Linked DNA regions of Oryctolagus cuniculus. The protein of the gene in region 7 binds, or shares a complex with, the protein of the main gene of each other region. Links are inferred from orthologs where the notes say so. Each region holds a gene or a part of one and is shown on either strand. Other genes may lie near its edges. The genes, in order: CRIPT, GEMIN2, SART1, LSM4, CWC22, STRAP and SNRPD2.

Region 1 (4,098 bases), on a different chromosome or scaffold from region 7:
GCAGAGAGGGAAAGATTGAGACCCAGATCCCCCATCTGCTAGTTCATGTCTTCTGGTCCAATTATAGAGACCGTGGCACTGGTATCTCCAGAGGCTGACACAGTGAGAAGGAACAGTGCTAACCAGCAGGTTACACCAGATCCCTGGCTCCCTCTGCCAGGACCTCTCATGCTTTGAGCACAATGCAATGATGAACAGTAAATTCACTCCCGCATGCTTAGTCTCAGGAGTGGGAACTTACACGACGGCTCCACAGAGGCTCTTACCCACCTTGCTTTTTTTGAAGTCAAAGCTTTATTTTCATTCAGCTTTCTTCCACCACTTTCTGTATCAAAATATTTCAGTAAGTTATTTCTACATACTTAACATCACACCTACTAATTCAGTTAGAAGTTCATCCTTTGACCTCCCACCATTAGAATAGCCTATATCAAAATTTTTAAATTCTCGTGAAATAGCTAAGTTTTTGAGATGCTACTTAGAAAATATTAGGGAAACAATGACGTTTATGTGAGATGCAGTTTTCTTACTCAGACAGCAAGCAGTACTTTAGGGGTGAGTCTACATTTACTCCATCCACTATAAAATCTAGAAGTTACTACTTTGGTGTCACAGACTCTGAGTCCAGTTCAACTTTCGTTTCCTTCCTGGTGAAAACAGCTTAAGTAATTTTTTTTTTATAAAGAAGATAAAAACTAGGTGAGGAGAGGAGAAATTAAATTCGGACTCTACACTATGACACACTCATCACTTGAAAATATTTAGTAGGTTTGCTATCTCCTGCTTACTATGTTAGGAACCTGTGCATGTAACTGGGAGAACTAGAGAGAAGGCATTAAATCACTGGGGGACCCCGTATATTCTTTATAGACAAGATACTCTGAGAATACAACATCTCACTTTACAAATAAATGTAAAAATATATTATTCACAGGTGGTATTTAATTCAATTTCTGTTTTCCAAAAGAAAAAAAATACCTGTGGTATTTCTTGCACCATCCTTCCATGTATCCGGAGTGATAACAGTGCCAAGTTTCTTTTCACCTGTTGTGATAAAATAGTAAAAGGGGCATTATAACTTGCTAGTTAATAAATACACCACATGGTGCCAAGGCTCCCAATGCCATCAACAGTCATATTACAGTGGGAGCCTGTTAATGCTGGGGTAGAGGCTAGTGAACTGAGATTCAAGATTTTTTTTAAAAAAATTTTATTTTATTTGTTTGAAATGCAGGTTGGGGAGGCAGGTGGTTTCCCATTCACTGGTTGGGAGTGGAACTGGGACTCACATCCAAGGATGCAAAACCCAGACACTCTAATCTGGGATACAAGCATCCCAAGTGACAGACTAACACAAATTACATGGGAGGCCAAAGTTAGAGATTTAAGAACCACACCTAAGAGATGAGACATTTGGGCCAGCACATAATATAAAGATATTTAATTCAAACTTACTCAAATACACACACAAGTCCAAAAACCACTGCAAGTACAAGATGAAGCAGAGTTACAGACAGTCAGTGTCAAGTAAGATCATGCACTTTCTGAAGGGATGGACAGGTCAGCCTATGATCACACTGCACAACTCTGAATATACTGAAAACCAGTGAATTGTACACTTAAAGTGCATGAATTGCATGGCATGTGAATTACGTCTTAATGGTTATTTTCTTAAAGCTTAATGTAAGGCAACAATGGTATGTGGTGTAGTATCCAGAAGGAGGGAGGCATTAGTTGCACTCTGGCCCACATATGGAGCAGAGTTTAATTCTGTGTCACGCAGTAGTGAGTTATGACAGAGGACACACTAGGGACCTTTGTACCAGGCATTACCTATGTCATTTCATGTAATTCTCAAAAAAACCCAAGGCTTATGTTGCGTTCTCATTTTCAGATGGGAAATCTGGGAACACCACGCAGCTTTGCCATGGGTCTGTGTGTCCAGACTGTATCCATCTACCACGGGGATGCCCACAGGTCATGTTCATTAGACCATAATCAGGATTAAGAGGAGTGGAACTCTTGTCACAGAAGAGCCAGAGGGAGAGGATTTGGGAACTTGACAGCTGCTTTTAAACACATAAACAGCTTGGTAGGTCCACAGGGTGTATTTTCTACAAATCTTAAGAGTTTGAATTAAAAACACTGGGTGGCAACCACAGAGGAAAATACTTTCCTCAAGCCAGCAATGCCTCCTTGCAGAGACTTCTTCGTAGGTCGTGGGGGTCTCCAGCCTCCCCCACCCAGATACTGTTTCTTTCATAGGATGGGATGCATTCAGAATAAGCAACGAAGCCAATTTAGTAAGGCACGTCCTAAATAACCGAATGGGGCATACTTACAGCACTAAAAAAAAGTATTCGTTGTTTATCTTAAATTAAAATTCAATTGGAGGTCTGGAATTGCTAGATCTCGCAACTCCACACGCTACAGAAATGACTTTTAAGGTCCATTTTAAGCCTGACGGAGGCGGTCGAGAAGCCGTAACTGATGAGGCGAGAGCCAGAAGGCGGCGACGGCAATGGGCAAAAAGGTGCAGAACTAAGGCCATTCTGATGACAAAATATACGGGATTACACAGTCGATGAGGGGCAGGAAGGGTCACAGGGCAAGGGTGGGAGAACACAGGCTAGACTTAGAGACCTGTGGGAAAAGGAAAAACCAAGTTCCCAGGAGAGTCCGAGTAAGTTCTCCCAGCCTCCTCTCCCCACACAAGCGGCCCCTTAACTCACATTTTTCGCACACCATCTTTCCGCCGACGATTCGCCCTCCTCGCCCCAGAATCAGCCGCAGCTTGAAAACATCAACACTACAGCCTGGGAAGAATTTTCCTTCCGGGCTACGTCAATCTACTTCCGGCCCCTAATCCTCCGCTCCCGCCAATCCTACGCCTGGAAAGCCGCGGGAGGCATGAACGCCAGCGGGTAGGCGGGGCTGCCTCGTTTGTCCGCCCATCCCCTTCTGCGATTGGCTGTGCGACCGTGGGTCTCCGCCCCGCGCGCTTGCGCCTGCGCGTGGGCTGGGGCAGCCCGTTGTGCCTTGATGGTGGGAGGCAGTAGTTCCCTTTCCCTTCGCGGGCGGGAGAGTTAGGTAAGCCCCGTTGGCTGCGTTCTCCTCTGGGAGGTGTGGAAGGCGCCTCCGCCAACTGCCCGAGTGGTCGCGAGCTTGCGCGCCCCCGCCGGCCCTCGGAGGGCCTCCTTCCGCGTGACCCAGGGGCTCCCCTGCTGGACCGCTCCTCTTTCTCAGGCGCGTTCCTGCCCGCGTCCCTCAGCTTTCGCCGGCTGACGGGCCGAGCCCCAGTGACCCGGTGTGGGGTGGGGCTGCGGATGAAGTCCGCGACCCGGGCGGCGGCTGCCCCGGGAGGGCTCGCCGGCGCCCTGCTGGCCGGCGTGGGCGGGCCGAGATCGCCGGCGCCGTGGCGGTGGCCCCGCGAAGGCGCGCCCGGCAGGTGTCCTCGTGGGCCCGCCGAGAAGGGCAGGCGCTTCACCTGCCCGGGTTCCTTCGTTCTTTGAGCAGGCGCTGGAGTGTGGCTTCTGCTGCTGGGATTCCGAGGGTGGCCCAGAGAAAGTAAGGGGGATCTGTTGAGAGAATGGATTTCTGTTCCCCCTACCCGACCCGCAGGCAGCTGAGAGTCTGAGAAACTTTGTCCCTGCTTGTCGCCCGTTCTCTACCGGATCCCTCGTGTGTCCCTTTATGTCTGTAGCGCTGGGGAGCTTGGAACAAGTCTCCTGACTTGTTTTTCTTGTTTAATCAGTAAACTACTTGCCTTTGATAAATGACCGCGGGAATCAAATAAGAGCTATTCGCCAGTGAGCTCCATCCTCTCCCCACCCACATATGCTTTTATGTATTTTTTAGGGCTGTTTCTGTTTGGTGGAATATTCACAGTGTAACACGTTGACTATTTAATAAAGTCTGTACTCCACACTGCCAATACAATGCATAAGCTCTCAGGTAACTAAATACATGAGACAGTAAAATTTTTTCTGCCTCCATTCATGTTTTATTCTTGATTGGAATCTAGCACCTGTAACAGACCTAGTCATTTTGGAAATGCTAGAGTCTAGGGATCCCTTAGTTTAGGGTAATGCTCTTTGA
Region 2 (3,590 bases), on a different chromosome or scaffold from region 7:
TGGCCAAAACTCCAGCAGGCATCTGGAATCCTGAGATGAACCTGAGGAAGCCACATGTGGCAGAACCCAAAGGCCTGGGTTACTGCTATATTACATCTTGTCTGCCTACTTCCTTTATCTGAGGACAACAATGCCATTTTATTTAAGTTGCTAGTATTTTCCACTTTCTTGTTATGTGGCCAATTCTAATTGCAACTAACAAAATATGCCAAAGGTCTCCCTTCTATTGGAATTTTTCACCACTATAAAAACTGCTGGATGCTTTCAATTTGGAAAAGTGAGGTGAAACTTACCACTAAGAGCCTCACTTCAGAGCACCTTCTTGCAAGCTGCCGAATCAATGAGTGAGCCTCAGGTAATAAAGGTTTTTCAAGACAAGCCAATAAAGCATAAAGCCATCTTCCCTAAATAGGATTAAAAAAAAAACTATTAAATCACAAGTTTAAATATTCTAAGCTGTGCCTGGTTATCTTCCATGAATAAATTCATACAACTCATTACTGTGTTACATTTAGACCCTCAGATACACTCTTTCACAAATATCTTTAGCTGTGAAACACTGCTGGTTTCTAAAAACTAAATCTTTCAAAGATGATAAAATTTATTAAAATTAGAAAGAACAAACAGGTAATTCATTTAAAAATATTCATCAAATTAACCCAACTTTTAAGGCCAAAAAAAAATGAGTTGTGAATATAAAGCAATAAAGTAAACACAGTGTAGCATAGTTCTAACAGTGTAGAAATAGAGCCAGACTGCCCTGACTTGAGTCTGAATTCTGCCAATTACAAGCTGTATTATGTTAATTGAGTATTGTGGATAATAACAGTTAATAAATTGTTGAGGGCCCAATGAATTATTATATGTAAGGTTCTTAGAATAATGTCTAGCATGTAGTACTTGCTGTTGTTGTTACTTCTGATCCTTTTGTGGACTGATTTCAAGGTCATTTTAGAAAATGCATTCTAAACTTTAACCAGTGCCACTGGAAGTGGGGTTTGCAGACTTGTTGCCAGCCTGTGAGCACACTGTTACTGCTCAGCACTGAGATAAGTAGTTTGTACCAGGATATAAATTAACTCTTTGGTTGACATTTGTCCTCTTCCCCCTCCCTGCCAAAGGAAGACTTTGTCAACGAAGGAAGCAGTATGTTGATTTACACCCTGGTGTAGGTTCCTTATTGCACCACAAACAAGCATAGTTCAGATTACACGTATACTGTCATGTATCACTTAAGGACAGGGCCACATTCTGAGAAATACATTATCAGGCTATCATGTCATTATGCATACACATAGCAAGTACTTACACAAACTAAGACCAGGCTATATAATCTTAGAGGACCACTACTGTAGATGAAGCCCTCCTTGCCCAAAAACATCATGGTGTGGCACAAGGCTAGTAACACATTTGAGTATACACACACACACACACAAATACCATACAGTCACACCTCATGTATCCTATGAAAATAAAACTGAATTATGAAAATAAAAAGATAACACTACCAATTCTGGAGTAAAGTCTCTTTCTCCAAACCAATTACTCAGATATTCCAAGACACTAGTTACTGTTGCCTAAAAAGAAGGGGGGGGGGGGATAGTGGCACAGAACAGTTATAATATTAGTAATAAATACTGACAAATTCAATAGGAGTTTCACTAAATTTAGTTAGAAAGCAACATTTAAGATTGTCTCATTCTTTAGATTTCCAAAGAAAACTGACTCATTAATAAGAGTCACCTCTGGGAATAGGCTTTCTTTTTTCCAAAAAAACCAAAGAAACCTTTTATTTAAGGAATACAAACTTCAGAATTTCTTAAGTACAAATTTAGGAATACAGTAATTCTTCCCATCATACCTGCCCTCCCTCCTACCCACACTCCCACCCCTCTTCTTCTTCCCTCTCCCATTCCCAGTCCCATTCTCCACTAAGATGCATACCCTCCAATGGCCGCCACGGCCAGCGCGCTGCAGCTGGCGCACCGTGCTGATCCGAAGCCAGGAGCCAGGTGCTTCTCCTGGTCTCCCATGGGGTGCAGGGCCCAAGCACTTGGGCCATCCTCCACTGCACTCCCGGGCCACAACAGAGAGCTGGCCTGGAAGAGGGGCAACCGGGACAGAATCCGGCGCCCCGACCGGGACTAGAACCCGGTGTGCCAGTGCCACAAGGCGGAGGATTAGCCTACTGAGCTACAGCACCGGCCCTAAGATGCATTTTCAATCAACTTTATACACAGAAGATCAACTCTATACTAAGTAAAGAGTTCAACAATTTGCACACACACACACAAAACTGTTTCTCAACACTTGAGACAAGGGCTGTTCAAGGTCATTATATCTCGAAGTTAATTTTACCTTTTTTTTTTTTTTTGAGAAAATTAAGTTTAAAGAAGCATTCAAGAATGATACATCTTTTGGGAGCAATTAGACATAACTATAACTTATGAGACATAAGACCTCCACTTAATAAAAGAAAATAAGTCCTTGAGAACAAATTTTATCATTAGTTAAGGAAGCACCTAAGAAAACAAGCAAAGGAGTTGGACACTTAGGCAGATGTAAAACTTATGAGACTTAAAAATATCATTCACTTAATACACTAAAACAAAATAAATCTTTGAGAACAAGTTTCACTGTTAACTATGATAACACAACTCTTTGGAGGACAGAGGTCTTGCATGGGAAGTTAGTGCACAATGACTCCTGTTGTTAATTTAACAATTAACACTCTTATGTATGATGTCAGTGACCACCTGAGGCTCTTGACAAGTGCTGTCTAAGGTATGTAAGCCTTCTGAATTCACAAACTCCGTCAGAACTGTATGGACTTATTTTCTTTTACTGTATAAATCAAGGTCTTATAAGTTATAGGTATGTCTAATTGCTCACAAAAGATGTATCGTTCTTGGTGCTTCTTTAAAGTTAATTAAGTCAGAATTTGTTAAAATTTAGACAAGGCCATAAGCAAAGTGGAAGTTCTCTCCTCCCTGCAGAAAAAAGTACATCCTTCTTTGATGACCACCACTTCTACTGGAGTTTCACCCACAGAAGTCCTTCATGTAGGACATTTTTTGCCATAGTGTCTTGGCTTTCCATGCCTGAAATGATCTCCATGGGCTTTTCAGGTAGACCAGAATGCTTTAAGGGCTGATTCTGAGGTCAGAGTGCTACTTAAAGCAATTGTCATTCTATCAGTCTGCTTTATGAACTGATGCCCATGTTGGAGCATTGACTCCTTTTTAATTCTATTATTACAGAAATGTAATCCAGACACTTACTCCTATTTATATGAATGCTTTAACACTTAAAATGCTATTTTTACCATCCAGCTTAAGGGGATTTGGGGTGGGAATAGGCTTCTAAGACAAATATTCCTATACTTTCAAATATCAATGAATGCCTTGATTAAAATACTAGGATTTAGTTTGTAACTACTAATATAATTTAAAACTATTTGAAAAACTTGACAAACTCTTCAAAAAAAGAGTCTTTACCTTTAGTCCATTTCTCAATTCAAAACAAAGTACAAATCTGAAGAAACAAATCTAGAAAGACCTGTTTTACAGCTATACAGGTAGAATTTATCA
Region 3 (4,218 bases), on a different chromosome or scaffold from region 7:
GGCATTGGGAAGGGAACGGGGACCCTAGGCCTGGCTGCCCCAACCAGTGAGCGCCACCTCCCTCTGGCCCTTGGGTGACCCCACACTCTCCCAGCAGTCAGCTCGGGCAGAGAGCCCCTGCCCGCCCGGGGGGAGAGCCCTTGCCCACCCTGGGGGAGCCCCTGCCCGCCCTGGGAGAGAGCCCCTGCCCGCCCGGGGGGAGAGCCCTTGCCCACCCTGGGAGAGAGCCCCCTGCCCGCCCTGGGAGAGAGCCCCTGCCCGACCTGGGAGAGAGCCCCTGCCCGCCCTGGGAGGGAGCCCCTGCCCGCCCTGGGAGAGAGCCCCTGCCCACCCTGGGAGAGAGCCCCTGCCCACCCTGGGGGAGCCCCTGCCCGCCCTGGGAGAGAGCCCCTGCCCACCCTGGGAGAGAGCCCCCTGCCCGCCCAGGGGCACCCCTGCCTGCCCAGAGAGAGCCCCTGCCCGCCCTGGGAGGGAGCCCCTGCCCGCCCTGGGAGAGAGCCCCTGCCCGCCCTAGGGGAGCCCCTGCCCGCCCTGGGAGAGAGCCCCCTGCCCGCCCAGGGAGAGAGCCCCTGCCCACCCTGGGAGAGCCCCTGCCCGCCCTGGGAGAGAGCCCCTGCCCGCCCTGGGAGAGAGCCCCTGCCCACCCTGGGAGAGAGCCCCTGCCCACCCTGGGAGAGAGCCCCCTGCCCGCCCTGGGAGAGAGCCCCTGCCCGCCCTGGGAGAGCCCCTGCCCGCCCTGGGAGAGATCCCCCTGCCCGCCCTGGGAGAGAGCCCCTGCCCACCCTGGGAGAGCCCCTGCCCGCCCTGGGAGAGCCCCTGCCTGCCCAGGGGGAGCCCCCTGCCCGCCCTGGGAGAGAGCCCCTGCCCACCCAGGAGGAGAGCCCCTGCCCGCCCTGGGAGAGAGCCCCCTGCCCGCCCGGGGGCACCCCTGCCTGCCCAGAGAGAGCCCCTGCCCGCCCTGAGAGCGAGCCCCTGCCCACCCTGGGAGAGAGCCCCTGCCCGCCCTAGGGGAGCCCCTGCCCGCCCTGGGAGAGAGCCCCCTGCCCGCCCAGGGAGAGAGCCCCTGCCCACCCTGGGAGAGCCCCTGCCCGCCCTGAGAGAGAGCCCCTGCCCGCCCTGGGAGAGAGCCCCTGCCCGCCCAGGGGGAGAGCCCCTGCCCACCCTGGGGGGGAGCCCCTGCCCGCCCAGGGCTGCGGCAGACGCAGGGCTCTCACTTGGTCTCCTCGATGCTGAGAGATGAGGCATCTCCGGAGCTGGTTTTGGAGCCGGCAGCTGGAACGACAAGCGGCGGGGCTCAGGGGCTGTGGGGCTGCGGGGCTGCGGGGCTCGGGGGCTGCCGGGCCAAGGAGCCGGCCCCGCTAGCTCGGACGTGCCCCAGGGTCTATCAGCCGGCAGAAGGCAGCGGCCCGGCGGGCTCCCAGAGCTCTGCTCCTACGTCCCCTCCTCACCCAAGACGGCCACGTCCTGCCTCCCTCCCTCCCTCTGCCCTCTCTGCTTCTCTATCCCCTGTGCCCCTGCCCCTGCCCCGGCCACATCGTAACCGAGGGCAAGACCAACCAGCCCTGACGCTGCGGCACGGGCAGTCATGTCGGGGTCTGGCCGCCCCCACGGGGCGGGGGTGGTGCCGCAACGCGGCCGTGTCCCGGGTGCCACCCAGGCGGTCAGGAGCAAACAGTGTCTGTTCTGCGCTGCATGTGGGGCTCAGGCGCAAAGCATTTGGGGCCTCCTCCAGCCCCAGGTGAACCCCGGAGAGGAGGGAGCTGGGCACCGTGAGCCGGCCCTCCCCGCACCCCCCACCCTCCCCCTCTACCCCACAGCTGCCTCCTGCACCCCGGCCCCCGCCTCGTGTCACCCCCTCCTCCTAGCACACTCTCGCCCCACGCACCCCGACACGAGCCTTCCGGGTGTCCCCGACCCTTGGGCGACTCATCTCCTCTGTGGCATCTTCCTGGGCCCGCTACTAAAACCCCAGCACTCCCCAAGCCCTGGCCCCGCCGCTGGCCACACCCTCGCAGGGGGCTTCCGGGGCTTCCTAGACCCTCTCGGTGCCCCCACGCACTCTCAGAGCCCAGGGCATCACCCCCTGCCCGCCTCTGTCACCCTCCCCCAACCACCGGGTCCCGGTACTCCCTCCTCGCAGGGGCAGCTTCCCTCCCCCGCCAGCCCTCCTGCCGACCTCTGGCCACGACCTCATGCCTCACTGCCTGGGGTCTCCACCACGAACCCCACGCGCGCCGCGCGCCAGCGAGCCACCTGCTGAGACCGCACGCTTCCGTCCACCCAACACGGAACCCCGCAAAACGAGAACCTGCGTGCTCACGGGGCTGAGCGGACAAAGCCGAGCCCAGGCCCGAATGGCCGGTCGGGGGCTCTGCTCACTGCTGAGCCCAGAGCCCCGGGCAGCACCGCGGACACTGCCGGGCTCCCGGGGCCCCGCCCCGCCCCTCACCGGCCTCGTAGCCGTCATCGCGCTTCTCCCGCTTCACGCGCCGCTCCGAGGGCTCGGCCTGGCTGCGATCCCGCCCGTGCGCACTGCTACGGGCCTCGGCCTCGGCCCCGCGCCGCCCGCTCCCGCGCTCGCTCCCGCGCTCCCGGCTCCGCTTCCGTCGTTCGCCGCCGCTGCTGCCGCCGCCTCCACTCCGGTGTTTGTGCTTCTTGTGCTCCCGATGGCGCGGCGGCTGCTCGGCGGCGCCCCCAGTGCTGGCCGCCGCCGTCGTCCCGGCGGCCTCCTTCTCCCCACGGTGCTTCTTTGACGACCCCATGGTGGTCCGTCCGCCTGGAGCCGGGCAGCCGCCGAGCCCCGACGACGCAAAATGGGAACACTTCCGGGTCGCACGGCAGCCGCTGTCCTGTTGCCGGAAACCAAGAGCGGCCGCTTCCGGCGTGCGCGTTGGCGCTTGCCCCGGAGGCTCATGGGAAGGCGGGGACGGGCTCGGATCCCGACGGGGCTCTGGCGGCCAGCCCTGGGCCGAGCGGCGCTCAGCTCGCTGGCTTTCCCGCTGCGCGCGCCCCTTACGGGCGCAGGATTAGCTTGGAGGAGACGGGATCGCAGAATGTTAGGGACCTAGAGGCCATCTAAGCCAGCGCCCCGGAGCTGGAAGCCCCTCAGGGCCGGCCCTGGGCAGGTGGTCCATTCCAGTGGACTCCGGGGATCTCGGCCCCATCGGGCAGCCCAGCCTCTGGGCGCTGTAAGCAGCGAGCGCTGCCTTTGCACGGGTCCCTGAGCTGAGCTGAGCTGGATTTTTTTTTTTTTTTTTTTTTTTTTTTTTTTTTTTTTGGACAGGCAGAGTTAGACAGTGAGAGAGAGACAGAGAGAAAGGTCTTCCTTCTGTTGGGTCACCCCTCAAATGGCCACTACGGCCAGCGTGCTGCGCCGATCCAAAGCCAGGAGCCAGGTGCTTCTCCTGGTCTCCCATGCGGGTGCAGGGCCCAAGCACTTGGGCCATCCTCCACTGCACTCCCGGGCCACAGCAGAGAGCTGGCCTGGAAGAGGAGCAACCGGGAGAGAATCTGGCACCCCGACCGAGACTAGAACCCGGGGTGCCGGTGCTGGCCTTGTTTTTGAACCTCTGCTGTGAGCTGCTCAGGGAAGTAGCCTTAAAGGCCGCGTCCGTTGTGCCCTGGTCACTCGTGAACTGGCCCCAGGACATATGGGGGAGATGGAATAGAGAGAAACGGCCATTGCTCTTCGAGACGTCCACTGGGGAGCAGGGCCAGGGCTGTGGGGACAGAGCCAATCCTTCCCACTGGCGGCTTCCCCACCACCACCACAGACCCCCACGCTGAGTTTGCCACAAAACCTTTAATTTTTATCTCGGGGACCGCTCGCCAGGTCCACGCTGGGGGTCAGGTGCCTGTCAGGCTGGCCTCCGGGGGGCTCCATCCTTGGGCTCTGCCTGCTCGTCTCCGCGGACCTGTGGCTCCTTAAAGACAGACAGCGGCCGCTGAGCACAGCTCCCACTCCCACGTGCGTCCCAGCCCGGCAGCCGTCCTGGCTTCCCGTGCGGCCCTGGGTGGACGACCGCCCCTCCTCAAGTCCCCGCTGGCTTGTGAAGTGGCCCACGGTCCCTGCCCTGAACCGTGTACGTGGGGTGACCCACGCGGCCCCCGCCCAGCCTGCCTTGGCCTCCTGTTTGCTGCTGTGTCCCTGGGCGAGGCCCTGCCCCTTGGGCCTCAGCGTGGCTGCCCTGGCCCCGCGGCCTCACCTGGGTTTCCGGG
Region 4 (4,257 bases), on a different chromosome or scaffold from region 7:
GGCCCACGTGCAGAAGGAGCCCGCTGTGCAGAGAGAACATTCCAGAACACACGCAGGCCCGGGCCGAGCGGGGACGGCTCCACGCAGGGCCCATAGGCCGCGCCAAGACTTCAGGTCTACGCAAGGCCCGCTCTGCTCATTTTTACCAATAACCGCGCGGATTTACAGGGGTGTGCGCTGGGCGTCCTGGTCAGGGCGGCTGCGTCCCAGGCTGGGGGCCCCCGGGTAGGGCCCGCTCAGCTCCCCGCGCATGCGCGCCCTGGCTGGGAGCCCCGGGATGGCGCTCCGGGCTCTGGGGAGTGACTGCGCACGTGGGACCTCTCTCCCTCCCATAAAGTAAATAAATCACGCGCCTGGCTGGATGAGCCCAGCTGAGGTGCAGATATGACCGCATTCAGAAAGTTCACGGAGGAGCCTGGGGCCTGCAGGGCGCCCGTATCTCTGCCTTTCAAACAACTAAAGGCCGGGCCGAAGCCAGGGCCTCCATCCGGGTCTCCCGCGTGGGCGGTGGGGGCGGGGGCCCAGCGCGGGGCCCTCCCCTCCCCGCTGCCTCCCAGGCCCTCCGCAGGGAGCCGGTGCTCCCGGGATGCTGCGCCTGCGGGGGGCTCCTGGGCCACCCCCTGCCATGGTCTGGGGCCCTGGCCTGTGTGCGGAAGCGCAGGGACCGCGTCCGTCCCAGGGCAGCCCCCCGCCCCAGGGGAGCCGGCGGGCGGACAGCTGGGGGCGCTGTGGAGCTGAGCCCCGGCTCTGACGCAGCTCCTGCGCGGGGCACAGCTGAAGATGACCCAGTGCTCCGGTCACCGGGCCAGGGTGGGGTGGGCGTGACCTGTCCAGGAGGGACCCCCTCCGGGTCTGCCAGGGGCCGCGCGGGCGTCAGAGGACCTGAGTCTGCTCCAACCGGCAGGAACCCCCGCCCCACGCAAGGCGGCTCCGCCAGTGGGCGATGGCCTGCGCCCCCCAGCCTCCTGCGTGAGCTAGGAGGAGACCCCCCCCCCGCCGCGGGCCCTCCCCAGCAGCGCCCCTGGGGGAGGGGAGGCCGGGGGCAGCAGGAAGCCAGGCCCAAGCCCACTTCCTGCCCCGGCTTCCTGGAGGCCGGGCTCAGGAGGAAGAAGGGGCCACGTGGAGAGGGGGCGGCGGTGGGGGCGGGGCGGCCCCTGCTTGTCATCTGGATGCCGTGTGTCGCCAGCCACGCTGGGGCGCAGGGACACAGGGCCTCACGCTGGCTGGGGGTGGGGCTTCTCTCCCCGCCACAGGCACCTGGGCGCTCGCCCCGGCCCGTGACCCCGGCAGGTGGCAGCCACAGCCCCGGGGCCGCCTCCCTCCGCCCCCTGTCACCTCCCTGGGCCAGGCCCAGCTAATGGGCACCCTGGGGCGCGCGGCTGTTTATTTCATTATAGGCTGCAGCCGGCGTCTAATTATCGCGTGTGTTTATTACCTGTCTCCCCGGCTAGACTGGAAAACCCGCAGTGGGCGTGGAGGCTGCCCCCGCGGGAGGGCGCGCGGGCGCGGGGGCCAGGGTAAATATTTGCAGGAGGTTAAGGCAGCACCACCCCGGGCCCGGCGGCCGCCAAGGAAAGGGAGGAGCGGGAGCCACAGGTCCAAGGGGAGGAACTAGGAGCGCCCGCGCGGAGGGGCAGGCGCAGCCCAGGGCGCTTCGCTTCCCCGCAGACCGGCTAGGGACACCCGCGCCCATCCCGAGTCCCGGCTGCTCCACTTCCCGCCCAGCTCGCCGCTAACGCGCCTGGGAAAACAGTGGAAGATGGCCCAAGCGCTCGGGCCCCTGCACCTGCGTGGGAGACCCGGACGGAGCTCCTTGGGGCCCTGCACCTGCGCGGGAGACCCGGATGGAGCTCCTTGGGGCCCTGCACCTGCGTGGGAGACGCGGACGGAGCTCCTTGGGGCCGTGCACCTGCGTGGGAGACCCGGACGGAGCGCCTGGGGGGGCCGGCACCTGCGTGGGAGACCCGGGTGCAGCTCCTGGCCTGGCTCTGCCCCAGCCCCGAGCCGTCTGGGGCTTTTCTGCACCTGCCTTTCCCTCTCTTTCCAGTGCGTAAAAACCAAAGACAAAGACGACACCCAAGGGCTCCTAACTCGGGGCGACCCTCCGTGGGCGCCCCCACCCCAGGCCCCGCCCTGACCACAGGACTCCTGCACCCCTGGGCCAGGAAACTCGGCAGCAGGCGGAAGCTGGGGACTCCCAGGGGCAGTGCCCGCCAGCCGTGGTGGCCAGCCCCGCCGTCAGGCGTGCAGCGGGCGCCGGCCACCGGGCCCCGGCTCTGAGAAACGCACGGCCCCGCTTTGGGGACCCTGCCCTGGGCCGGAAGCCCCCAGCGGCACCCACGAGCCACAGTGCCCGACGGCGGGGTCCCCGCCCCCTCCGGCCTCAGTTTCCCCGTCTGGAAAGTGGACAGCGCGCAGCTGACCTGCTGAGCCTTGATTAACGGCGGCCCAGCCGTGAACCTCGGAGAACAACGTACTGGTGCCCCGGGCGAGGCACCTGCCGTCTCGGGTCAGTTTCCCCGGCTCGGGGCTGGGGGCGGGACTGGACGCTGCGCCCGCACGTCCGGAGCGCACCGCCCCGACCCCCACGGCCCAACCCGAAGGCCGCCGACGGCCGCGTGCCCACCCCCAGCCGCACCCCGCCTCCCGGTCAGACCCCGACGGCGCCCGGCCCTCACCATGGTGTCGGCGGGGACCGGGCTCCCCGGCCACTTCCGCCGCCGCCGCCGCCGATCACGCTGCCGCCGGTCGCCGCCCCGCCGCGCGCCACAAGCCTGAAAAGGAGTGGCAGGAGCGGGAGCCAGTCACCGCGGGGCGACGGGGACGCATAACCAATCCCCGGACAGAAGGGCGGGTCTTCGAAGCACGAGGGGGTGGGACTAACTTCCCGCCAGAAGAATCCGCGACGGAGCCGTAAAGTGCCGTGGCGAGTGATGCAAAAGGGGGCGGAGCAGCGCGCGCCGGCTGCATTGTGGGTAGCTGCGCATGCGCAGAGAGGAGCCGGTCCTGTCGCCCGGGCTCCGCGGTGTGGGCCGGGCCGTGATGGCGCCGGGTTTGCGTCTCGGTCTCGTTCTTGTGCTTGGTTGGAAGTGGGGCGGCCGGGACTCGAACCGGCGGCCCTTAGCGATGCTGGCGCAGCGCAGTCCCCGAACTAGCAGGTGACGTCAATGTGACGTCAGGTGTTTGCGGACTCGAGAGATCGGTTCCCCAGGTGAGCGTGTGGCCCGGATTTGAGGACGCCCGCGGACCAGATCCTAGTTTACTGGGTTCGAGTCCCGGCCCCGGCCACATCCCAGGGCCCGGGTTCGAGCCCCGGCCCCTGCCACATCCAAGGGCCCGGGTTCGAGCCCCGGCCCCTGCCACATCCAAGGGCCCGGGTTCGAGTCCCGGCCCTGGCCACATCTGAGCACCCGGGTTCGAAACCCGGCCCCGGCCCAGGCCATATCCGAGCGCCCTGGGTTCAAGTCCCGGTTCCATCCACATCTCAGCACCCGGGTTCAAGCCCCGGCCCTGCTGGACTGCGCACGCGGACGCTGGCCAGCAGCAGCCGTGGCTCACTGCTTGGGCCCCCGGCGACCCGGAAGGAGTTCCCAGCTCCTGGCTTTGACCTCACCTAGTGGAAGATTCTCCCCCGTCCCTGTGTCTTGCAAATAAACAAAAATAAAGTTTTTAAAGAATAAAAGGTGTGAAGAGAAAGCACACAGGAGAGAGTTTGTGGATTCTGCTTTTTTATTTTTGCCCCCAGATAACCTTAGCTTTCAAGCCCCCTCCCCCGCAGGCCCCGCGGCCCCGCCCAGGGCAGAGCCTGCCCCTCTCTGGAGTCTCCGGGCGCCGGGAGCGGGAGCGCACAGGCCCGGCCCCTCCTACGCGGGGGCCTGGGGCGCTGAAACCCAGGGTCTGCTGCGGCAGAGGCCCGGCCGGCGTAAGCTGGTTCGACGCTGGTTCGAGTCCCCTGGTTCGAGCCCCGGCTCTGCTCTGATGCCGCCAAGGCACCTGGGAGGCGGCGGGTAGGGGCTCTGCCTGTCAAATGACGGAGGGGGGTTGGGGGGAGAGCTTCTGCCCGCTGGTTCCTCCCCAGACGGCCGGTCCGGGCCAGGCTCACGCTGGGTCTCGCAGGTCCACCTGCGGCCGCCCAGGGTGCGCATGCGCAGGGAGCTGGCGGTAGGTCCGGGCCAGGCTCCATCCGGGTCTTGCAGGTCCACCTGCTGCCTTTGGGACCCGCCCCACGCGGGATCCAGCCCCGGGCTTCTCCCGACG
Region 5 (4,031 bases), on a different chromosome or scaffold from region 7:
CACTCTCTCTTTAGCCAGCTATTCTTCAATTACAGGAGCTCTTGATGTGTCCCCAGGCCTAAGCAGCCCATAGTCCCTTTCTGGTGTCTGCTCACTGGGAAGTCTTGCTAGCCTGGCTACAGTAGCAAAGGTCTGCTTTAATGTACTGCTTCTTCTCCTGAAGTTCTCTTTTTAAAGAAAATGCTTTGAGAGTGTACTTTGTTGAAAGCCTCGAAATGTCTCTTTTCAATGTTCACTTGAGAAATGCTTGCAGTAGGAAACCAGCAGGCCTTATTGTCCCATTACCCTCCAATGGCAGAACTGTCAGACTTTAACAGAAAGGGAAATTCAACAAGGAAGCCCTCCAAAACATAGGTGGAATCATATATATATATATTACCAATAGCCCCTTTTTTCTTACTTAGAATAGCTCTAGGATAGTCATGACTAAGTTAGGGATAAACCAGGTAGAGCAAAATTCAGTCTACATACAAGATGGCAATAAATAGCAACTACCGTTCAAGTTAAGGCATAGTATAGGCACATAAAGGGTACTACAGACACATAAAGTGCCACTGTCTCCTTTGTTGAAGTGATGTCAAATACAAACCACTGTAGGTCATTTGGCAATGCAAAATTATGAGATAATCTCTAACAATTCAGCAAATGAGAAAACTAACAAAGAAAGGTGTTTTATAAAAGTAGTTAAGTAGTCTAGGAAGCATCAGAATTGCAAAAGTGAGTAAGCCAAACTACCCAAAGCAGGGAAGGATGTGGTGAAATAATAATGATGGGAAACTGGTTGGCCACGAATCAAATAATTTGGAACAAAGAGGGCAGGCAACCTGATTTGGGGAACCACAGCATATCTCTAAGGCATTAGCTTTTTTATGGTCTGGTAAAAAACATACAGATGGGTCCCATGCCCCAGTTTTTGATTCAACAATTATTACATGACTAACAAGTTCCAAGGAGATACCGGTGCTGCCGACTTGGAAAACCACATTTTAGGAACCACTAAGCCAGGGTAATAGAAAAAGCTTTTTGGCCTCTAAAGTACCAGTAAAAGAATCTCAGAACTCCAATGAGTTAGGAAAGATTCCACAAAAGTGACACGAGCACTTAAAAGTGGCAACATTCAGAAGCAAAGAACAAGCACTAAGGAACAGAGAAAACTCATTAACTCTATCATATATTAACAATGTTAAAACACCGGAGGCCAGCCCGGGAGCACACTGCCGGACATGCAATGCCTTCAGACTCAACCAGTGAGCCAGGCAGTTATTATTACAACTATTATTACCTTTAGACAAGGACTCTGAGACTAAAGATGTTAGTACACTTGCCCCAAGTGATAAATCTAATAATCACTGAAGCAAGACTGCAATCTCTGGCTTGCCAGTCCATCACCCAGCACCCACACAAGTCATTTCCTCCTCCTATAGACAACTGCCTGCAGCAACGCTTCCAAAACCGCACTTTTAACGCTAATCCTAAGTCTGCCCTTCCACAGGATAACTGATGTTAACTCCTGTGTTCCTAAATAAATCTAAATGCAGATAGGGAAGAGGGAGGCTAACTGATCTTTTTTAAGACCAACTTTGTTCGTTTATCTGCTATTTCTAGTCTGTTGATATCGCATAACACAAAGGAAACTCATCACATTTAAATCACCCAACTCCTACACCCAGAATAGCCTTTTCCCAAATTTCTCATTCTCACTCCCCTCAAAGCACGGAGGATTAAGTAAATACAGGTAAAGACGCTATTTCAGTTAGTCCAAGCAAAATTAACTATCATATCACCATTACATTGAAGTGTATTGTAGGACTCCAGAGCTCAGCAGAGAGTGACGAACCGGAGGACCAAGTTAAGGAGTTGTCAATCTTATTGGAAGTGGTTCAACTAACGGCAGGACGAAAGATGATAGATGAAGACAATGGAAAAGGAGGGGTTCCCAGGACTAAACATCTGTAAGTATCAGTAAATGGCAGGGCAAATACATGAAAAAGAAACCACTAGTGAAATTTTACAAAGAGAGTCACAGGGATAGTACTCCGCCGAGAGGCTTTAAAGTCAGTTAGCTATCTCTTAAATGAACTATAGTTCATTAATCCTATTCCCGAGTCCCTGGGACCCGGGCACTAGGTAGGGGCCTGGGCAAGCCCCCTAACTCGAGAGGTTCGAAGTGACCCGCGCCCAAAACACTGCACACGGCGGGAGGAAGAACCAGCTCGGATGCAGTCACCCAGCAACTGAGACACGGCCAAGGTACGGCGCAGGAACCTCATGAGCCTGAGGTCCGTCCGCGCAGGCGGAGAGCCAGCTCACGGCTGCCCACTCTCCACCTGACGGGGCGACTCGGCCCAACCCGCTCGCTTAGCCCAACCTCGCGGGCCCGCGCGTGGCGGGAGGACGGCAACGCGCTCCCGGGGCCGCCCACAGCCGGACCCGGCGGCATACTCCCCCCGCCCACAGACCTCCTCACTATCCCTCCCGGTCCAACAACCCGCGACCCCCCACTGCAGTTGCCTCCCCGGGACGACTCGACCGAGTTCGATAATTACCTAGAGCTCCACCGCGGCGCCATTACACCGGATGCACGTCACTTCCCCTTCCCGGGCACCGGCAAGAGGAGGAAGGCGGAGCGTGAAGTACGTAAAAACCGGACGCTCATTTGGGTTTGACGCGCTTTGCCTATTAGGTTATCTTAAACACCACATCACAACGCCAGATTGAAAGCAGTGCATCTAATCATACTGTCTCCTTACCAACACGGCAACGAAAAGCAAGTAGACCCGAACTACAAAGACCAGCATCCTCCCTCTCGTCAGACGGAAATGACTAACCGCAATTGTAGTTTTAGCGCGAGAAAGCCCCAGTGGACGATGGGAATTGTAGTTCTTGGATATAAGCATCTGCGACTGCCTCCAGGCTGCTCACAGAATACCTGAGAGTAATTAGGGTTTGATAAGATTAATTATAATCCAAAACTGTTTCTCTGCGGTTGGCAGAAAAGTAGTCCTCTGTGGTCACGTTTCCGTGAAAATATTAAAAAACAGAAATCCTCTCAGACATTTTGGTTTGACCAAGAGCATATTAAGCAAAATGTTACTAAATGATTAAGTGCCTACTAAGTTCCAAGAGAATATTAGCCCATTAATAGACTGAGAGAAGCTAATTCTGTGAAGACGATGATGTCTCTCTTTGGGCTAAGATACCAGGTGACAAGACACTGTCGAGATAAAGAGATTCCGCAGCTGAGTTAGAAACTGTCTTATACAGAGTTCAGAGGTAGGGCTTCAATCAAACAATTTCCTTGAACTTTCGTTTTTGCAATCACAAAACCCAGAAGTCCAAGTAATTGTTAACTGTTTGGGGAGTTCTCTTGCTTTTTTAAACCAGGACTGGTTTCTGCAAATACTTCATTACAATTTTAGGTTATTTGTGCTTCTAACTCTTTCCTAGTTGCAGAGATTAAAGGCATTAAAAAACAAAATGGAGCTGGGCTACTTATGCTTAAACGATGGATTTATTCATGAATCATTGACTTCGAGTAAGTTACTTCACATTCTGTGTCCATTTCCTGATTTGTAAGGAGTAAAAGCAGTACCCACCTATATTCTGTTTTATCAATGATGCAATGCTTGATATACAACTGCAATTGGGCTAATACTTGGTTGAAGTTGCTATAGTCTATAATAATTATCCTAATTCAGTTGATTTCTTTAGATCAGACCGTCAAAATTAATTGGAGCTATGTTGGCATTATCATAAAACCTTGACATTTTTCTGGATATCATTTAAAAAATTTTTTTTTCTATTCTGGGTATCATTAAACTCTACTATTCACATATGACACTGATTTTGATTGCTCTCTTGGCCAAGAGAGAAAGTTCAAAGACTTTTGCTTAGCCTTATCCACTGTTACAGTTTGGATGATAGTTTGTGTGTTCCCCAAAGGTCTGTAGGTTGAGGACTTGATCCTCAAAGTCTTATGTTAACCATTAACAGGTCAATGTTAATGGTTGAAGGATTAAGGGTTGAGGCTT
Region 6 (3,590 bases), on a different chromosome or scaffold from region 7:
TTTTCGCAGCCTTTGGGATCATGCTACTATGACGGAAGTGAAATCTCTAAATTTTAATATGTCTGTTAGTAGTATGGAGTATATTCCTGAAGGAGAGATCTTGGTTATAACTTACGGACGATCTATTGCTTTTCATAGTGCAGTAAGGTAAGTCTAGGAAATTCCTCCATTTTCTGTTTTGGGTGATGGGGGCCATAATGTGTTTTTATGAGAATTTGGTATACTTTAATCAGAGGAGTTAATCAAATTCCAGGTGTTTAAGTCAATTATTGGTACAATTAAATGTTGAAATTGTTTTTCTTAAAAGAACCATTGGATTGATGTTTATAATTAATGTTTATTGTGTAAAACTGTGGTTATCTTGAATAGAGAAAAATAGTTTTTTTTTTTTTTTTCATATCCCCAAGTATATACAGACCTCTTTTTAAAAAAAACGGGGCCAGCATTGTGGCATAACAGGTTAAGCCATAGGTTAAGCCACTACCTGGAACACCGACATCCCATATGGACACCAATTCTATTCCCAGTTGCTCCAATTCAGTCCAGCTGCCTGCTGATGTGCCTGGAAAACCAGCAGAAGATGGCCCAAGTCCTCGGGCCCCTGTGTGGGAAATTTGGAGGCTCAACCCCAGCTGTTGTGGACATTTGGGGAGTAAACTAGAGGATGGAAGATTTCTCTCCCTCCCTCCCTCCCTCTCTCTAACTCTGTCTTTCAAATAAATAAAATAAATCTTTAAAAAAAAAAAAGACTTAAGTTTTGTGACTAGAAATACAATAAGTGCTCTTGTAAAAATTTTGGAAAATATGATATAATTAAGAATAATTGACTCAAAATCTTATAAGAAGATTCCAAACTACTAATGGCTGTATTTTCTGCCATTTTTTTTGTTTTATTTATGCTTGTGTGTTTTTAAATGAAGGCCGTAATGTAATTAGGCCTTGTTGTTTAAAAATATTCTAAGATATATCTTGGAAAACAGATTTGCTAGATACATTGCATTGTGAATTACAATAAATTACCAGTGCACTGTTTTAAGCCTGCAGTAACTGAGGTACTTATTTCTCAGTGTTTCCTTAGAATCTTATAAGTACTATTATCAGTTCCAAGGGTAGGAATGAGTCTAAAGTTCTTAGTTATATGTGTCACTTATAACTTGTTGATTTCCACAAGGATTATACAACATGAGACCAGCAATTCTGACATTTTGTCTACAGTGCCATTTGCAGTGCTAAGGTTCACTGAATGGAAGAGAAAAAGAAAGGATTAAAATTGGAGTAAAGCAATTCAGAATGTAAAGGAGGTACACACACACATGAATTGATGATAATAGAATGCTGTATCCCAGCCACATCAAACTGTACAACCATATTGTTCTCTTTTGGAGCGGTACAACATGCAGTCCTACTGGAGAATGTTGCTCCAAGTTCCATTTTAGTGGCAGAGATTTGCTGACCTATGGAATAACTTTCTTTTTTTAAAAAAATTATTTTCATATACTTTAAGGCACAGCAAGAGTGAGAAAGTGACAATGGGGTTGGTAGGGGAGGAAAGGGAGATCTATCTTCCTTCTATCTGCTGATTCACTCCCCAAATACCCACAATAACCAAACTTGGGCTAGGCTGAAACCGGGAGTCCAGTATTCCATCTGGGTCTCCAGCAAGGGTAGCAGGGGCCCAGGCACTTAAGCTATCACCTGCTGCCTCCTAGGATGCAGTGGCAGGAAGCTGGATTGGAAATGGGGATTCCAGGACTGGAAATGGCACTCAGAAATGAAATAAGGGAAGGTAACCTAATCTGTGGCTTAACCTACTGCTCCACAACAACCACCCCCTATTGAACAGTTGAGCCAACAAGTGACCCTGAGTAAGTCATGGCTACTTGAATTTTCATGCTTTATATTATGAGGTGATGGGAACAGAGGAGTGACTTTAAGGGCCTGAATGGTATGTTGTGTATTTGAGGCCTTTCATCATTTTCAGGGTTGAACTGAAAAAGAGCCAGTCTCCAAACTAATTGATTCTTCAGCTAAAGCTGTTACTATGCATTGATTTTTTTCATATGTAACTGTGGCCTCAAATTTTAGTCATTCTTTTACTACATGATAATAACAACAGCTGTTTTTCACAGGTTCATATTTATAGCATTTTCTTGTTGCAAAAGCTTAAACCCTCACAATTGAGAATAACATACCTATAATCCTTTATGTTAGAGTAATTCATTACCTACTGTAAAACCTTTATCTGTTTACAAAAGCAATGTGTGCCTGTTGAAGAAAAATCAAAACAATACAGAATATAATTTTTTAAAGCAAAAATCCCAATATTTTCCATGCAGTTTTAATTAGCAGAGAAACTCATTTCCAGGATGGTATCTGCTGCTCAAGATGTGGGTATCCCTCTTGAAATGTCTTTATATTCCTGAGATGAATTCCAGGTGGGCACAGGATCCTTAGGCACCTTTTTTGCTAATAACATTATCAAGTCTTGTTTTTTGGTTTGTTTTTTCTTGTTTTGTTTTTGAAAGGCAGAGGAGGAGTGGTAAAGTATAAAATGACAAAGAGATTTTCCAGCGACTGGCTCATTCCCCAAATGGCTATAGCAACCAGTTCTGGGCCAGGCTGAAGTCAAGAGCCAGGAACTCGATCCGGGTCACTGCCCGTAGGAGCCTGAGTACTTGGAAGATCTTCTGATGCCTTCTTGGGTGTGTTTGCAGGAAGCTGAAGCAGAGCAGCTGGAACTCAACCTGTTAAGCTGTTGCAAGCAATAGCCTGAACCATTTGCCACAATGCCAACCCTTATTTAGTATTTTTTTTAAACATCATTGTTTGTGTTTGAATATTTAATTGGTCCTTGTGTCAGAATTTAGGAACAGTTTAACTAAAATCATTTACATTATTTACTCAGAATTTGTAAATATTATTTAAATTTTTTTCCAGTTTGGACCCAATTAAATCCTTTGAAGCTCCTGCAACCATCAATTCTGCATCTCTTCATCCTGAGAAAGAATTTCTTGTTGCAGGTGGTGAAGATTTTAAACTTTATAAGTATGATTATAATAGTGGGGAAGAGTTAGGTAAGTTATCCTCCCTTTTTCCTTTTATCAAATGCTGAGTTCCAAAAATTAATGTTTCATTTATGTATATACCATGTTGGAAGCATATTTTTCATCCAACTAAACCTTGATGTTTAGAAGTGAGAAGTATTTATCCATTTTAGATAGGAACTTTTATAGATCTATAAGCAAAATATGCTGAATTTAATGTTGTCTTTTTCTTTTAGCTGAAATTCATCCTTATCATGTTCTGTAATATTGTGTAGTGATTTTCAGGCTTTATGGGGAGGGGAGAATCTTATGTCAAACTTATGTATTAAATAGACACAGGGAAATTTATTTTTTCCAAAGTATGGTGTGCGTGGCCCAGTGAGCTGGCCACCATTCCTTTTTGCTAAGTTCAGAATCCCTAAGATTCTGTACAGAGAATAGTGGAGAAGGGCACTATAGCATCTTACAGGGATGCCTTTAAGAATCTAACTTGGAGAGTTTTATTCTTTTTTTGGCAGCTGAGTTTTGCTACCATTTTCATGATAA
Region 7 (4,320 bases):
GTCGGGGCGCCGGATTCTGTCCCGGTTGCCCCTCTTCCAGGCCAGCTCTCTGCTGTGGCCAGGGAGTGCAGTGGAGGATGGCCCAGGTGCTTGGGCCCTGCACCCCATGGGAGATCAGGAAAAGCACCTGGCTCCTGGCATCGGATCAGCAGCGCGCCGACCGCGGCGGCCATTGGAGGGTGAACCAACGGCAAAAGGAAGACCTTTCTCTCTGTCTCTCTCTCTCACTGTCCACTCTGCCTGTCAAAAAAAAAAAAAAAAAAAAAAAAAAGGCTAAGAAGCCCCCATCTTCCAACACATGTGATGTTTCAGTCACACCACACTCCTGCGGATCTGTGACCACCAGGGGGGCGGTCCCTGGAGGGAGGGCGCAGGAAGGAGATCGCCCGTCATCAGGTGCCTGTTTGAATGAACCCGCCCCACCTGCACACACTGCGCATTCAGTCGCGGGTGGGAGGGGCTGAGGGGGCAGGCAACAGCCCGCTGGCCGCAGTGTTCTCAGGCCAGGACCAGCAGAACCGGGCGGCAGGAGAGCGCCTGGAAGGTTCTCCTGCAGGACCGAGCCCTGCCAGGGGCACCTCTGCAAGGCTGTGGGCACCACAAAGGACGGCCAGGGGCACGGTGAGTGCGTGAGTGAGACACCACAGAACACACGGGGGCGGCGCTGTGGTTGGTGGGCTGACGCCCTGGCCTGCAGCGCCAGCATCCCACAAGGGTGCCGGTTCGAGGCCCGGCTGCTCCTCTTCGATCCAGCTCTCTGCTGTGGCCTGGGAAAGCAAAAGATGGCCCAAGTGCTTGGGCCCCTGCATCCACGTGGTAGACCAGGAGAAGCTCCTGGCTCCTGGTCAGCTCAGCTCAGTGAACCAGCGGATGGAAGACCTCTCTGTGTCTCTATCCATAACTCTACCTCTCAAAATAAATAAAATATTAAAAGCCTGCCTGCGTGCTACCCCCGGCTCTGGCCCCACTGTGGACATCCGGGGAGTGCCCAGCAGGTGGGAGCTCTCTCCGTCTCTCCGCTTCTCTTTCAATGAATGAACCAAAAGGTGTCCTGTGGCCAGGCACTTCATGCGTGTTAAGTCACCGCATCTCTGTATCCACCGCGACGACTGCCTGCCACTGTGCGGACAAGATAACGGCACGCGCTGAGGGTCGCCTGGCCGCTCAGAGGGACAGCACAGCAGGGGCCGGCTGGCGCCCACCGCAGGGCAGGGCGGGAGGCGCGGCCTCGGAGGAGCCCCGCCCGCAGGCCCCTCCCTCCCGGGCCAGGCCCCGCCCCCGGCCGCGCACCTGTCGAAGGCCTTCACGCGGCCCAGCAGCTTCTTGTTGTTGCGGCAGTTGATGAGCACCTGCGTGTTGTTCTTGACCGACTGCGTGAGCACGGAGAGCGGGCCCGTGTTGAACTCCTCCTCCTCCCGCTTCTGCAGCTCCTCGGGGGTCATCTCGCTCTTGGGCTTGTTGAGGAGGCTCCTGACGGGGGAGGAGGGACCCGCGGGTGAGGGGAGGAGCCGGGGCCGCCCCCCAGCCCTGCCGGCCTGGTCTCTAGGCATCAGCACCTGGAAGCCACCAGCCATCCCCAACCCCGCCCGCCCCGGCTCAGCTCCCGCTAGGCCCCCTCCCCAGCCTGCTGCACCCAGGGCACACCACTCCCTGGGGGGTAAGTCCGCCCTTCTCATTGGCCGGGCAGAAGCGGACGTCCACTCCTCTTTCGTCTCCCACGGCAACTCGGACAGCAGCCACTGTCAGGACTTGCTCTACGGCGCCCCCACCTTCCTCCCCCTGGCGTCTGACGCCCACTGCCCCACAATCGGACGCTTGTCCCTCGGCATCCACAGGGGGCTGGTCCCAGGATCCGCGTTGCCCGGGTCCCGGAAGCCTCAGCGGCTCGGATCCCTTAGGTGGGATGGCGGGGACGCACACACACACACCCTGCGCACACCTCCCGCTCGCTAAGTCATCTCCAGGTTACAGCGTAACGGGACCTGACTGTGCTGCGACCCCGTGGAGCCCGGGCAACAGTCACAGGAGAAAGGCCTGCCCGGCCACTCGGGGCTGGCCAGCCTCGGTGTTCAGAACAGCACTCGGGCGCCGGCTTAAAAACCAGCCTGCCGTAGTCCCGCTCGGCAGGGCCGAATCAATGCGTCTGCCGGCCGTACCCCTCCCCCCGGCCGGCTGCAGAATCCGACCTCCGTGCCAGGGCTACCTGCACCCAGGGGCAGCCTGGGGGCCGTGCGCAAGCCTAACTCACGGCAGCCTCTTCGGAACCCTCCCAGGGCCCCCGGCTGAGCCTGCAGCCCCAGCCGCGGCGTCGTTGCGAATCAGGCCGAGCAGCCACGGCCCCCGGCCCCAGCTCACGTTCCAAGCCCCTCGCCCCCAATCGCTATGCCTAAAAGCCCGCGCCCGCTCCCCGGCTTCTGTAACTCGAGAAGCCGCTTCTTAACCTTCACTCCAGCGAGCTGATGACGCGGAGGAGCCGCTGCCCGTTCTCTCACAGAGCTGGCGGCCCTCGCGGACTCAGGGTCCGCCAGAGGCCCCGGGGGCCGGTCCCACGCTCATTACAGAAAATTCGCCCGAGAGCTCTGCTCCGCCCCCGGCGCTGCCGCCCCCTTCCGCCGCTAATCGGCCGCATTCGCACCCACAACCTCACGCCCGCCGCTTAAGCCCAGCCCGGCCTCACATGGTGCCGGCCCCGCGTTCGGGTCACTCTCACTCCAACCTCCTCCGCGTTGCTTCTGCCTCTGCGGATGGAGCGCGAGAGGGGCGGGACTTCCGCTTCCGGCGGGCCACTTCCGTGGGCGCCTGCGCAAACCCACCCGGCGGGCTGGGGCGTGGCTTGTTGCCATAGCGACCCCCGCCGGCTGCGCAGCGAGGGGGCCGAAGCCGCGAGCGGCAGTTCGAGGCCTTTAAGGACCACAGCGGGCAGGTGTTCATCGGGATGGAGAGACCAAGACAGAGAGTCCGAGTCGCGCCGCTTCGTGGTAGAGGCGGGACAGGCTGCAGGAGGGAAACGGCCAGAGGTTTCTAAATGCCCGCCAGCCCCGTCTCCGGGGGCGCGGCCTCCACGAAGCCAATCCGGTCCCGGCTTCGGGGCCTGACGCCTCGCTGGATCTTCCCGTCCCGCGGAACCAATCCCTTTCCGCGGCCGGGCGCTGCCCATTGGCTTTACCCGCTCCGCCGGGGCGGGCCGCACGCCTTCGCGTCCCCTCTGGGGGTTGTGCAACCCCTCTGGGAGCCAATCGCGACACCCCGGGCCTCCGGGGAGGCTTGTCCTCGGGAGCTGCACCCGGCTCGCCGGGCCGGGGTGGTGCCCGGCGCTCTTGTCGCTCATTGGCTTTGTGATTCCATGGGGTGGGACTTGGCTGGGCCTGAACTCCATCCGCGGTCCCTGGCCGGTTTCAGGGCAAAGCTGCCATGCGTCCCGGGGGCCGCGGGCGGCCCCGGCCCCGGCTCGGGGAGCGCGGCCTGATGGAGCCGAGCTCGCCGCTCAAGCGCCGCCTGCTCCCGCGGGCGCAGCTGCTGCCCGTGCTGCTGCTGGCGCTGGCCGTGGGCTCGGCCCTCTACACGCTGTGGGGCAGCTGGCACCGCAGGACCGAGGAGCTGCCGCGGGTGAGGCTGGGCGCGGCGCGGGCACTGGAGGGCCCTCTCTCCCCGCTTCCTCTTTCCGAGTTTCGGTTTGACGTGGCGCTACCTGGGGCCCTGGCCGCAGGTGCCACCGGCTGCCTCCCCGGAGCGCAAGCCCCCTCCCAACGCGCCCCCTGGAAAGAAAGGCTCCGGAGTCGTCAGGATGAGGGTTTTGGGTTCCACGCCCGAAAGGCAACTCTTGGAAGCCTCCCTTCCCCTCGCTGGGCTTCGGTTTCCATGTCACGATCGAGGGGTAGGCTAAACCGGGTGGGCTTGGAGAGACTTTGATCCTGGAAGTCTCCCATGCCGCGGAGGCACCCGGGCTTTTGGGGGGAGGGAGCAGTGCGCTCATTCTTCTCTTCTTTAGACGCCGCTGACCGGAAGTCTCCCGGAGGCCCGGCTGCGGAGGGTGGTGGGGCAGCTGGACCTGCAGCGCCTCTGGGGCACTTTCCTGCGACCGCTGCTTGTTGTGCGAGCCCCGGGCACTCCGGGCAGTCTCCAAGTCAGAAAGGTACGAGGCCCCGTCTCCTCTCCCAGCGCTGACCCGCCCCCACCCCCACACACACCTAGCCCAGCGGGGCATGGGAAGCGGGGGTCCTGTCCAAGGGTCCCGGAGCGGCGGAGGGGCAGGAGCCAGGCACTGACTCGAGTCTCACACAGGTGTTTCCCAAGCAGCAAACAGCCCCGTGAGGGGTCAGT

The links.
Region 1: SNRPD2 (region 7) and CRIPT share a complex: the UniProt entries of both Homo sapiens proteins name them as parts of the minor spliceosome. The link is inferred for Oryctolagus cuniculus from reciprocal best matches to the Homo sapiens genes SNRPD2 and CRIPT.
Region 2: SNRPD2 (region 7) and GEMIN2 share a complex: the UniProt entries of both Homo sapiens proteins name them as parts of the SMN-Sm complex. The link is inferred for Oryctolagus cuniculus from reciprocal best matches to the Homo sapiens genes SNRPD2 and GEMIN2.
Region 3: SNRPD2 (region 7) and SART1 share a complex: the UniProt entries of both Homo sapiens proteins name them as parts of the U4/U6-U5 tri-snRNP complex. The link is inferred for Oryctolagus cuniculus from reciprocal best matches to the Homo sapiens genes SNRPD2 and SART1.
Region 4: SNRPD2 (region 7) and LSM4 share a complex: the UniProt entries of both Homo sapiens proteins name them as parts of the U4/U6-U5 tri-snRNP complex. The link is inferred for Oryctolagus cuniculus from reciprocal best matches to the Homo sapiens genes SNRPD2 and LSM4.
Region 5: SNRPD2 (region 7) and CWC22 share a complex: the UniProt entries of both Homo sapiens proteins name them as parts of the minor spliceosome. The link is inferred for Oryctolagus cuniculus from reciprocal best matches to the Homo sapiens genes SNRPD2 and CWC22.
Region 6: SNRPD2 (region 7) and STRAP share a complex: the UniProt entries of both Homo sapiens proteins name them as parts of the SMN-Sm complex. The link is inferred for Oryctolagus cuniculus from reciprocal best matches to the Homo sapiens genes SNRPD2 and STRAP.

The regions. Positions count from the first base shown.
Region 1 is NC_091433.1:156,146,774-156,150,871, forward strand, and holds the start of CRIPT (cysteine-rich PDZ-binding protein), read right to left. Parts: upstream 2,886-4,098; 5' UTR 2,749-2,885; coding exon 2,733-2,748; intron 1,045-2,732; coding exon 979-1,044; intron 326-978; coding exon 271-325; intron 1-270. Other genes in the region: PIGF (phosphatidylinositol-glycan biosynthesis class F protein), read left to right, coding at 3,939-3,954. UniProt on the Homo sapiens protein: As a component of the minor spliceosome, involved in the splicing of U12-type introns in pre-mRNAs. Involved in the cytoskeletal anchoring of DLG4 in excitatory synapses.
Region 2 is NC_091443.1:36,514,772-36,518,361, forward strand, and holds part of GEMIN2 (gem-associated protein 2), read right to left. Parts: intron 1,578-3,590; coding exon 1,509-1,577; intron 405-1,508; coding exon 294-404; intron 1-293. UniProt on the Homo sapiens protein: The SMN complex catalyzes the assembly of small nuclear ribonucleoproteins (snRNPs), the building blocks of the spliceosome, and thereby plays an important role in the splicing of cellular pre-mRNAs.
Region 3 is NC_091432.1:5,822,200-5,826,417, forward strand, and holds the start of SART1 (U4/U6.U5 tri-snRNP-associated protein 1), read right to left. Parts: upstream 2,829-4,218; 5' UTR 2,763-2,828; coding exon 2,450-2,762; intron 1,273-2,449; coding exon 1,215-1,272; intron 1-1,214. Other genes in the region: TSGA10IP (testis-specific protein 10-interacting protein), read right to left, coding at 3,803-3,923, 4,206-4,218. UniProt on the Homo sapiens protein: Plays a role in mRNA splicing as a component of the U4/U6-U5 tri-snRNP, one of the building blocks of the spliceosome. May also bind to DNA.
Region 4 is NC_091447.1:65,595,479-65,599,735, forward strand, and holds the start of LSM4 (U6 snRNA-associated Sm-like protein LSm4), read right to left. Parts: upstream 2,835-4,257; 5' UTR 2,682-2,834; coding exon 2,679-2,681; intron 323-2,678; exon of another isoform or gene 147-322; intron 1-146. UniProt on the Homo sapiens protein: Plays a role in pre-mRNA splicing as component of the U4/U6-U5 tri-snRNP complex that is involved in spliceosome assembly, and as component of the precatalytic spliceosome (spliceosome B complex).
Region 5 is NC_091434.1:61,056,185-61,060,215, reverse strand, and holds the start of CWC22 (pre-mRNA-splicing factor CWC22 homolog), read right to left. Parts: upstream 2,809-4,031; 5' UTR 2,547-2,808; exon of another isoform or gene 1-2,546. UniProt on the Homo sapiens protein: Required for pre-mRNA splicing as component of the spliceosome. As a component of the minor spliceosome, involved in the splicing of U12-type introns in pre-mRNAs. Promotes exon-junction complex (EJC) assembly.
Region 6 is NC_091440.1:113,728,888-113,732,477, forward strand, and holds part of STRAP (serine-threonine kinase receptor-associated protein), read left to right. Parts: intron 1-9; coding exon 10-147; intron 148-2,937; coding exon 2,938-3,074; intron 3,075-3,590. UniProt on the Homo sapiens protein: The SMN complex catalyzes the assembly of small nuclear ribonucleoproteins (snRNPs), the building blocks of the spliceosome, and thereby plays an important role in the splicing of cellular pre-mRNAs.
Region 7 is NC_091449.1:11,275,335-11,279,654, reverse strand, and holds the start of SNRPD2 (small nuclear ribonucleoprotein Sm D2), read right to left. Parts: upstream 2,828-4,320; 5' UTR 2,680-2,827; coding exon 2,678-2,679; exon of another isoform or gene 2,442-2,677; intron 1,471-2,441; coding exon 1,291-1,470; intron 1-1,290. Other genes in the region: QPCTL (glutaminyl-peptide cyclotransferase-like protein), read left to right, coding at 3,412-3,606, 3,989-4,132. UniProt on the Homo sapiens protein: Plays a role in pre-mRNA splicing as a core component of the spliceosomal U1, U2, U4 and U5 small nuclear ribonucleoproteins (snRNPs), the building blocks of the spliceosome.